Caenorhabditis elegans: one gene and its partner. The protein of the gene in region 1 purifies or fractionates together with the protein of each later gene. This does not show direct contact. Each region holds a gene or a part of one and is shown on either strand. Other genes may lie near its edges.

Region 1 (6,745 bases):
TAAGCTGTTTTCTAGGAAATTCGTGGATCACACTTCAATTTTGTAATCATGCTTCCCGCTACTCCTGCTTCTCAGAACGATGTGAAATGTGCTTGTGGCATTGAATTTTTAGTGAGAGTTCGAAAATCCTCTTGTGAGTTGGAAACGCATAAAGACATGCTCCCATCTGTCATTCTTTCTTTTTTTCTACTCCCCCCTTGACCCGTCACAATTTCCGTTGCACTTTCAATGTCTCTCATCATCTTCATTTTTATCGAAGCAGTCATTGACCCGAATGTTAGATTACTTGATTACTCACTTGCGCTCACGTTTTAAAATTTTGTGCTTGAAAATGTTTCTGCTCTAACTATATAATTTGTATTCAAATGTACCTTGAAAAAGCAGAATCAAAATAATTATAGGACACATGAGTCAGAATCTATTCCAAACATCAGTGCAAGATAAGCTACATTCTTGAAAGAAGAGAAAAATGTTAGTGCTCTCTTAAAAGTGCATCCGCATCATCCCTCTTATTTGGCCAGCAGCCGTCGTTAGCCAAGACACACAAAAAAGTGAAAGAACTATGTTTTACTCATTTCAATAAAACAGCCTTCTTTCTTCATCAACCCCGCCGAGTATGCACTTTCTGACTTGATCCCATCGTCATTCGCACATATGCTTTTGAGTTCAATTTTATTTTCTCTTGTTTTCATTGCTTTATTCTTTAAAATAGTGCGGTTTGCTGAAATTTGTTTGGTACTTGTGTATTATATCCCCACCATTTTAAATGAATATTTAAAAGTATTAAAAAAATATTCCTATTTTCCTATTTTTACTTTAGCACAGTAAGTAGAAATTTTGAATACGATCAATATTTCTCTTCTTGTAGCTGGAATAATTGCTGGGTAGCACACTCAAAAGTTTATGTCGTCAAACTAACTTTTCTAGTAATTTGTGAAAACTGCGCAAAGTAAAAGTATGGCTGAATTCCTAAAGAGCTGAAATGACCAGATATAAAATTAAACTTTGCAAAAAAATTTTTTATTTTTTATTTTTTTTTGTTTCAAGTTAAATGAGGTAAACCCTAGTTATGACCAATTTTTAAAATTTATATTGGATTGCATTTTTTACATTTTCTTTTTTATTTCCGTTCAACTTCCTTGTGTTTTTTCGCGGGTTGGAGCATTGAATGTTGATGTGTGCTTTTTCACCGTGCTTCACACAAAATGTAGGCGGAGATTTTAAAGTGGAAAATGGTGAAGAAGCGCGCCGTCACTATAGATATTCGTTGTGTTCTCAAATATTTCCTGAACAATGTCCCCGCACTTTAGAATTTTGCGAAGCGAAAAGTGCACATTTTATCTCAATATTATATCCAAGGTCTTAAGTAACTTTACTAGTTCTGCGTCAGCTACAGTAAGACGATACAATTTCTAATCTGCTTCTAATCTGTTTCTTGAAGCGATGTTGAGCACAGAATTCAAAAACGTCTCATTTTGTCGAAATTAGAGTATTAATCATGAACTGAAACTGAAAAACTTACATTTGTGTTTTGATACTTCTATGCCCTAAGTTCAACTTTGCAACAGCTTTTCGTAATCTTTTCTACTGAAGCTGAAAAGCTTGCATTTGTAATCCATCGTTTTACATATTAGAAATACGACAAATTGGTGCTAATAGGATAGATTCGTTGAATAGTCATTATTTTCATCGTTCAAAACCACTCTATTTCGCTATTTAAACTCAAAATCAAGTTCGTTTAAAACTGGAGCACGAGAGAAAATAATTTCTGATTTCCGTAACAATATTTGCGTAAACTAGCTTAAAGTAATATTTACTAAAACTTTCAGATGAAGATGGAATGTATGTTCCTCTCAAACCAAGAATTAGACATACCCATGGAACTCCAAAAATGCTGTATGTCCATTGACCATGCATCTGAAAGTGTTATTGAAAGACCAGTGGAACTAACGTGCCTGTCCAACGTCGTGAATGGGACGGGAATCAGTGACAAAATCGCATCAGGTCGTTTTGGTACAGTCTTCTTAGGAACTATTACGGATTCAATGTTACAGGTATGTACAAAAAAAATTTTCGGCAAACGGCAAATCGGCAAAATGTAGAAATGCAAATTTCCGGCAAATCAGCAATTTTCCAAATTGCCGATTTGCCGAATTTGCCGAAAATTGTGGTTTTGCACATTAAAAAAATTAAAACAAATTCCTCTAAAAATTTCCGGCAAATTAATAGCCGGCAAACGACAATTCGGCAATTTGCTAAAAATGAAAATTTCCGGCAAATGGGTGATCAGTACATACCTTTTTTAACTTTTATAATAAAACAATGTAAGGAAATTACGGAATTTATCATCAAAATTTCTTAAAATATTGCATATTCTGCTGCTAAACCCCTGATGGACAGCTAAAAAATACACATTTTTCACTAGTGTTTCTATACAATTATATGTATTCTTCAGTTCCTTTTAGTTCAAAATACCTATAGAGCTTTGGTTTATAATTATTTTTAACATTTTTTGCACACGCTATTAAAAGTGCAATCCAAGGTCAAAAAATTGAGCAGGTGTTACAACGTTTGACCGCTTTCAGCTGTTTTAGTGTCGTTATTTCAAAATTGAATTCAAGGTTGCAATCAAAGAGTATCACGAAACATTTCATGATGCCGTGCTAACTGCACACGATGAAGGCTCCACTCTTCAGAAAATAATTTCTATCGAGCATCCGGCTATTGTACAGACTTTCTCGGTGACTGATATTTGAAATTTTTGTACTTATTGTTTTTTTTTTCAGGTTTCTCATTTTCAAGATATAGTGTATAAAGTAATGGAGTTCCATTCTTGGACTTTACACGGTAAGGCATGTATCAAAAAGTTTCAACATTTTCGCTACTCCACCACTATAATGTACTTTTCAAAAATAGAGTTAGTGAGTAACATTGATTAGTTGCAGAAAAACGTGTGTACTTCGAAAAAATTGATCGAACGAATAGTAGGATTACTTTCTACTATTGTATCTTTTCATTCTCTAAATGTTAATCTTTTCAGACGACATTTTGGACAAAGGCAAGTACGACGAGTCCCAGACTAAGCTTGTATTGGTACAAGCCACAAGAGCTCTCGAATATTTGCATGCACAAAATCTTTGCCATGGGACGCTTCATGTAAGAAACTCGGAAAAATTAGTGATATACGCAATAGGTCAACGATTTTGCAGACAAAGAATATTTTCTTGCAAGAAAATATGGTCAAAATTTCGGATATTGAAAGCTCCCAATTTTTGAACTGGCTCCCATTCAGCCAAACACCACTGCACATTCTTCCATTTATTGCTCCAGAATTGCACAATCAGTTATCAGAAGTGACTTCTGAATGCGATTTATGGGTAAAAACTACTCTTATAGTGCTAAAAGGACCAAATATCAAAGTTACACTTTTAAAAAAACTTGGGAAGTTTTTTAACAACTGTCAAAAAGTGACAATTACTTAGATTTTGCCAGTTATATTTTTGGAAGTCAACCAAAAAAAAAGTTCTACAATATTCAACTTTATATTAGTTTAAATTGCTCGTGTAAAGACATTCTGGATTTTCTTAAAAGTTCAAAATCAGCACCTTGCCAAAACTTTGACTGGAAATTCTTAAGAAATCTAAAAAATGTTTGGAGTGTAATAAATGTACTTAAACAAAATCCCCATTTATTCAGAGTTTGGGTGTGTGCATTTTTGTTATGGCTACTGGATCTTGTCCGTTCATTTTGGAAAGCCGCAACACTATGATGGAAAGTATTCAAGCTGGTATCCTAGGTTCCCCCGTTCTTGCCAGTGACAAAATTCAATCGCTAGTGGAACAGCTGATTCATGTAAACCCATCTGAACGCATGTCACTTAAATCTTTAATTGAAGATGATTGGATGACTTCTGACCTAGTTTGGAACTATTTTGTAAGATTAAAAAAAACCATTTCAAAACAGCATTAGCTACTATAATAGTATTCCAGATTTCATGTCATGAAGATCTCATTAGAGAGTTGCCAGTAGTTGATAGATTCATTCCGGCAGAGTCCCTGGAAAAGAGCACAGTTCAGAGAGACGGCTCAGAAATCTCCATCGAAACCTTAGATGAGGGCTACAAAAGTGTAGCATCAGATCATCCAGAAGAGCCAGCTGTCTCTGGAGAGCAACAAGTCTTGACTGAACCTGTGCCAAAAAAATATCACAAAAAGTTTGCAGTGGTTTGTGCACAAATTTTTAAATGGTGTTCAAAAAAACAGAAATATTTTCCAGTTTGCAATGGAAAACGTCCGTAAGGAGTGGGACAATGACATCACTCGCATTGAGAAATGCAAACTGGTATGTTTTTTTATTTACGAATTACGATGAGAACGAAACTGATATTTTCAGAGAGACGGAAGCATGTGCTTGAGAATCGTCATTCCAGCAAAAGATGAAATTGCCTCTTCGTCAATTTTCAATCGCATAATAAAAAGCCGTTTGGGTCAGACGATCAAGCGCTTCCGATCACATCAAGATACTGTAGTTGATTCGGATTTTGGAGATTACGCACTTATGGTAGGATATAATTATTTTTGTCATCTTATGGTTTTTTTTCTTCAGAACTTCCGCAGAGAAAACACCGAGATTGAAGTTGCTCGAAACATGCCAAAGTTCACGAACAAACAGCAAGTTCAGCTCTACTATTGCAAAAAGGAAGCCGAACGTGTCTGGGAAAATCTGGCGGTGAGAGTGTTTTGTTTGGGTAGTTTTAAAATCTGTATGATTTTCAGATAAAAATTTGCATGCGATGTCGAAGAGCTGGAACTGATGCTTTGAATCACGACGAGGATAAGTGTCTTTATAAGCTGATTGCAGAAGCTGTGGAGAGTGAAGAAGTGATTTATTGTGAGTTGGAATTTAGATAATAATAGAAATTCTGATTTAAAAAAAATGTTTGAAGTTTAATGGCTCAAACAGAGTTTCAGAATTAATAGTGGGGAAAATTATTAAAAATCAAATTGCTAAAAATGGCTAAAATTGCTAAAATGACCATTTATCAGTTACTCCACCTTTAACAACATTCCGAAAAATATTTTTTTGTCGACTACCGTAATTTCAAGTTTCTAATTGTTTTCAAACACAATTCGTCTGCAGCAAAGATTTCTAATTTTAAACCAAAAATGTCGAGAGCATTGTTTAGCTATACAACGAAACGTTTCAAAATATTTTGGAAAATTGGTTGTATGTTCTAATTATATATTATAGGTTCAAACCAGTTACATTGCTTTAGATTTATTGAAAAGTGGCCAACATAGTGAGTTTCACTACCTCTTGAAAAATGTTCAAAATTTTTTAGAAAAAATTTGTTATGGTATTTGATCATTTTAGCATCATAAGAATGGGTTTCAATAATTTTCTTATTTAATGTTGCTATGTCGTTTCAGATGGCGCAGAGGATCAATTCAATCTCCGTTTCTTCTCTCTTGTCTACAGAAATGACGGTGGACGTGCATCCGCAATGACTCGCTTCCGTAGAGGTTCAATAAGAGTTCTAACCTCTGGATACCGGAGAATTGTGAAACGTTTTCGACGACAGTCAACTTCTGGATCTGGTTCTTCTGGGTTGGGTTCGGACAATTGAAAATAAAAGTTTAGACGAGATTTTTGTTTTCATAAGTTCTAATTTTGTTTCTATGTATCGCTTTGTATGTAAATGACATTTTTTGCTCTGTTAATAAGTTGAAAGCGTGCAACCTTTTCGAGTAATTAATTCAATTCAATGTTCAAAAGAAAATCGATTTCTATTATTCAATTAAAAAAAATTTCTACCCATCTCAATATATGCACATTTTTCCAATTTCTCATGATTAATTGTAGCTATTACTGCGTTGTACAACACATTCCAAAAGTAATATTTTTTCGTATCGTATGCTGCAACCTCATATCCATATATTCCATCTCTCTTTTTTCTCTCTGTGAATTGTATAAAAATAAATATTTGAAAATTACAATTTATCAATCATAATAGTAAATTTAAACTTAATACCCGAAATTGGAGAATTCAAGATAAAACATAGTGACGTTCCAATGACGTCATGAAAGTGCAAATGACCAATGTAAAAAAAGATGATGAGGGAAAAAATATTGTGCTAACAAGTAAGAAGCATACAAATGTTAAGGGGGTTTTTTAATTGCACCACATAACGGCAGAGCACCTTGAAATGGTTTTGACAAGCACACTTAAAAATAATTAAAGCACGTTTAAAAAAAAAGATTATCAAATGATCGAAGTGTTTTATCGAGATTGTGATGAATGACTAAATGAATGATATGTTTAAGTCAAGGTTTAAATCAGACAAAGGCGGGTTCCGGAGCACTTGCACAGCATGATGTGAACTTCCCTTTATCGCTTTTGATGACTCCGTCAACGTGGAAGGCCGATGAAAACTCCTAAAAATGGCATATTTATTGAAAGATAATTAGCATATAAATTGCATCCGGATATTGTCTGTCTTACTAACCTCGTTGTCATCCGACTCATCCGAATGCATACTGCCAGCCGTTATTCGTTCTCTCATTGCAGCTGTCAAAGTGTGAAATGCTTCTTCGCAGTTTATCCCTGGAAAACGACAATCAGTGTGGAAAAAATAAATCTTCAAGTTTCCGTGTTTGTTCTCACGTTCTAGAGGCGGAAAAGTGCCAGTGAGAAAATTTAAAAAAAATCACTTTCTGAGAAAACTATAGGACTTTGGCATGTTCA
Region 2 (3,618 bases), on another chromosome or scaffold:
AATTAAAAACGAAATATAATTTTTTCTCCACATAAAATCGCGTAAAACTCACAGCAACACGATCATACTCCTGCTCACATGCGATACGAATAGTCGCGAATTCTCTTTGAAGAGGAAGTGGCTCTTCTGGAAGGAATTTCTGCTTCAGTGGAGCATTATCTTCAGCATAAATCGGAAGTTGCTCAATCTTAATAGGTTTTGAATCTCCATTATTCGTCGTGTTTTTCGAGGTGACAAGTTGCCAGAATTGTCCAAAAACATTTGTCACTTGTTCACCGGCGTTTGAAATTGTCTCCACAATCGGCTTGTCTTGTGTCATCTGGAAAATCAAGCGGTAAAACAATAAAATAATAAAACAAGAATAAATATTTTAAAATTGATTAGCTTATTATAATTATTAAAAAACCATGAAGAAATAAGTATTCCTACATTTGTGGCGCAAAATATCTCGTAGCGCAGGCTCTGTGTCGATTTACGGAGTTTGTGTTTATTCACGATGCGCCTTTAAACAATTATTTAAAATTGATTTTCTTTGTATTTAATTACCACTTTTTCATAAATCGACACCGACGCCTGCGCTACTATATATTTCGCGCCAGGCTTTCTTGTTTTTTTTTTAAATATTTTCTAACATTTAAACCCCTCTGAGGACGGTTTTAAAATTAAAATAGATAATTAACAGGCAATTAACCATGTCTTTAACCAATCCAAATTACCCTTAAAACACCCAAAATAATTTATTAAAAAAACGAAAATTGGGGAGATCTTTTGCATAACAAAACAGAAGAATAATAAACAAAGGATGTTCAGAATTTGGACAGTTTAGAATGGGGTTTTAAAATGGAACGTCAGTAATGGAAGTTTAAGAACGCGATCTTCTGCCGGCTGGAGAACGAGAGCGGCTGGCACGGCGGAATCTGTTGGGCCCTCCAAGTGGCATATTGTTGGCTCCTGAGCCACGGCCGCCCATTGGAGAACGTCTGCGATGTGGTGGTGGACTGCGGCCTCTGGAATTTGATGAAAATTATCAAAATATACTACTTTTCCTTGATTACTTACCCTCTTCTCATTGGTGACATTCTGTCTCTTGGTGGCGGCGAGCGTCTTCTAAATGGAGAACTTCTACGCTGGAATGGGACAGATTGTCGTCCGATAGTCATTTCGACGTGAACAGCCATTCCATCGATTTGTCCTCCATCCATGTGCTTGATCGACTTTTCGGCGTCTTCCAAATTGTCATATTCAACGTATCCATATCCACGATGAACATGGTTATGGAAGCGATCTGGTGGAAGATCGACATTCTTGATGGCTCCGTAGATCGAGAAAATCTCCTCGAGGTGCGTTTTCAGAACATTTCTGCTCAAATTTTTGATCACTACACGCTTGGCCGGACTGGCTGATCTTGCTGCTGGGCTTCTCCTCGGAGAAGCGCGTCTCCTCTGACGGCTCCCGCTTCTGTCACGACGATCACGACGTGGTGGCGATGGGGATGGACGACGGCGACGTGGTGGTGATGGTGATGGTCGCATTGGGCGATCGCGATCCGCGCGTGCTCCTCTTGGCGGTGAACCACGACGGATTGGAGAACGAGAGCGTCCTCCACGAGCTGGTGGGCGGGTATCACGACGACGTGGTGAGCGAGAACGAGAACGGCCACTGGACGATGAGCTGGAGGAGCGAGATCCTGATGAACTACTTCTGAAATATCGATTATTAAGCTATTGTATGAAAATTGTAAAGCATACCCAGAAGATGACGATCCAGAGCTACTGGACGAGCTGCTTGAAGACGAGCGAGCCCTCTTTTTGGTTTCTTCTTTCTCAACCATACTGAAAAATTATTTCATATACTCGAATAGACATCAACTAAGTAAGAAAATTTTCACCGCGTGGTGTTCGAGCAGAAGAAGAGACAGAATGTTGGCTAAAGCGCTTACTTTTTTGAGTAAATAATTAACCAAAAACAAGAATTACGGATTTTCAAATAAATTTTTAATTGAAAAACAAGAAAAAACCTATAGAAAAACTATAGAATTGAAAATATCGAATCATTTTTCGAAGAGACGCGGGTGAATGATTTACGGTAAACAACGCGCGCGGTGGAATATCGGAGTGTCGTTGCAAAACAAAACACTTTCGTTTTTTTTTTCAATTTCAAAATGGACTCTGCAGAATCTGAACTTTTAGAAGAAGAAGAGCTCCCAGAAATCAAATATATCGACTCTGCAGAATTCCAAAATTTCGATAATAACGCTGATCAGCGTGAAATTCAGTTTCGATGGATGGAAGCATTTGAAACAAAAGGTAATTTTTTCCCAAAAAAGTATTTTAGCACTAAATTCTTTTGCAGAACCAAGATGGTTTAGGCTTCTTGACGAATTCATCACTCCACTTTCTGGAAAACGTGGATATTGTTCTCGAATCGTCGAGAAGTACGCTCGAGTACTTCTTCATCAAGGATTTGAGTTGAGCCAGACGGATGGGCCGCTTCGTGTCGCAGCAATTGCGGCTTCGAGAGATGTGGGACAAGCCGGAAATCTTCCATCAGTATTGAACAATTTATCAGAAGTTACAAGACATCTGAATCTTGCTCAGTATGCCAGCACATCGCTCGCCACTGTAGGACAGAGGAAATTCGCAAATGAAGTCGTCCAGTGAGTGATTTTTTTTAAAATTTTATCTTTTCAATGGAAATTTCTTTCAGAAAAACTGTGAATCAAGAGCGCCTTGGTTGTTTTCACCTGTTCCTCATTGGATACCGCGAAGGACTCGAAAATCTTCTCTCAAATCATCGACACCTGCGAAATTTTCGATATAGTGCAAAAAAACGGCATGACCTTCTGACGGAGCACATTAAGAATATATTTCAAGAGCGAGATTCGTTTATTCAAGCACCAGAAGCTAGCAGCTTCGCACTTCAGACGGTTCTAGAAAACTGGACATTTCCACTTCAAAATGAACAAATTGTACAACTCGCCCATGCGAATACTCTTCAAATGCGCGCTCTTCACGTCAAAGGAGACGGTTTTTATTTTCTAAACGAAGCACTCAATGTGGCTATTGCATTCAACTGGTCCAGCTCCCAGGAAGAAATGGAAGAATTCTATTCAATTTTTACTCCACAAGCGACAAATCCACGTGGAAAACGAATTTTTCAATTTTGGAAAATGATTTCCAAGTACGATAGGAGTAATGGAAATGCACAAGGATTCTTGGTGACTGCTCAGCGATTAGAAGAGGAATCCAAGTCAGATGATATTGGAGCTGGATGTGTGACAGCTGTGGAACTTGCGTGTAAAATTCGCAACCAGTGTGATCAGCATGAAGACTTGTCAGTTTTCCGCTGGATTCCAGAGTTTCATATTTAGCAGGCCCAAAACGAATGCTTGGCAGATCCAAATTTTTCGCTCAATAAACAGCAAATTTACCTCTCTTTTCGTTTTCTCCTTCAATAAATCGAGACAGTCTGTCTGCTTTGGTCAGCTAAACATTTAGACCAAAGTTAGGTATGATAAATATTTAGCAGACCAAAGTTAGGTATGCTAAATATTTAGTAGACCAAAGTTGGGTATGCTAAATATTTAGCAGGCCAAAGTTAGGTATGATAAATATTTAG

Evidence for each region.
Region 2: the proteins of K02E10.7 (region 1) and rnp-5 fractionate together in Caenorhabditis elegans (co-fractionation; one large-scale study listed by BioGRID). This does not show direct contact.

Annotation. Positions count from the first base shown.
Region 1 is NC_003284.9:2,500,242-2,506,986, reverse strand, and holds K02E10.7 (Protein kinase domain-containing protein), read left to right. Parts: upstream 1-1,829; coding exon 1,830-2,054; intron 2,055-2,621; coding exon 2,622-2,741; intron 2,742-2,786; coding exon 2,787-2,847; intron 2,848-3,040; coding exon 3,041-3,156; intron 3,157-3,209; coding exon 3,210-3,377; intron 3,378-3,696; coding exon 3,697-3,933; intron 3,934-3,989; coding exon 3,990-4,223; intron 4,224-4,275; coding exon 4,276-4,341; intron 4,342-4,392; coding exon 4,393-4,560; intron 4,561-4,605; coding exon 4,606-4,728; intron 4,729-4,775; coding exon 4,776-4,890; intron 4,891-5,429; coding exon 5,430-5,626; 3' UTR 5,627-6,000; downstream 6,001-6,745. Other genes in the region: rabr-1 (RAB family), read right to left, coding at 6,337-6,435, 6,507-6,604.
Region 2 is NC_003281.10:852,078-855,695, forward strand, and holds rnp-5 (RRM domain-containing protein), read right to left. Parts: upstream 1,833-3,618; 5' UTR 1,832-1,832; coding exon 1,749-1,831; intron 1,702-1,748; coding exon 1,060-1,701; intron 1,008-1,059; coding exon 863-1,007; 3' UTR 724-862; downstream 1-723. Other genes in the region: moma-1 (MICOS complex subunit MIC27), read right to left, coding at 53-319; tag-51 (uncharacterized protein), read left to right, coding at 2,162-2,306, 2,353-2,656, 2,707-3,333.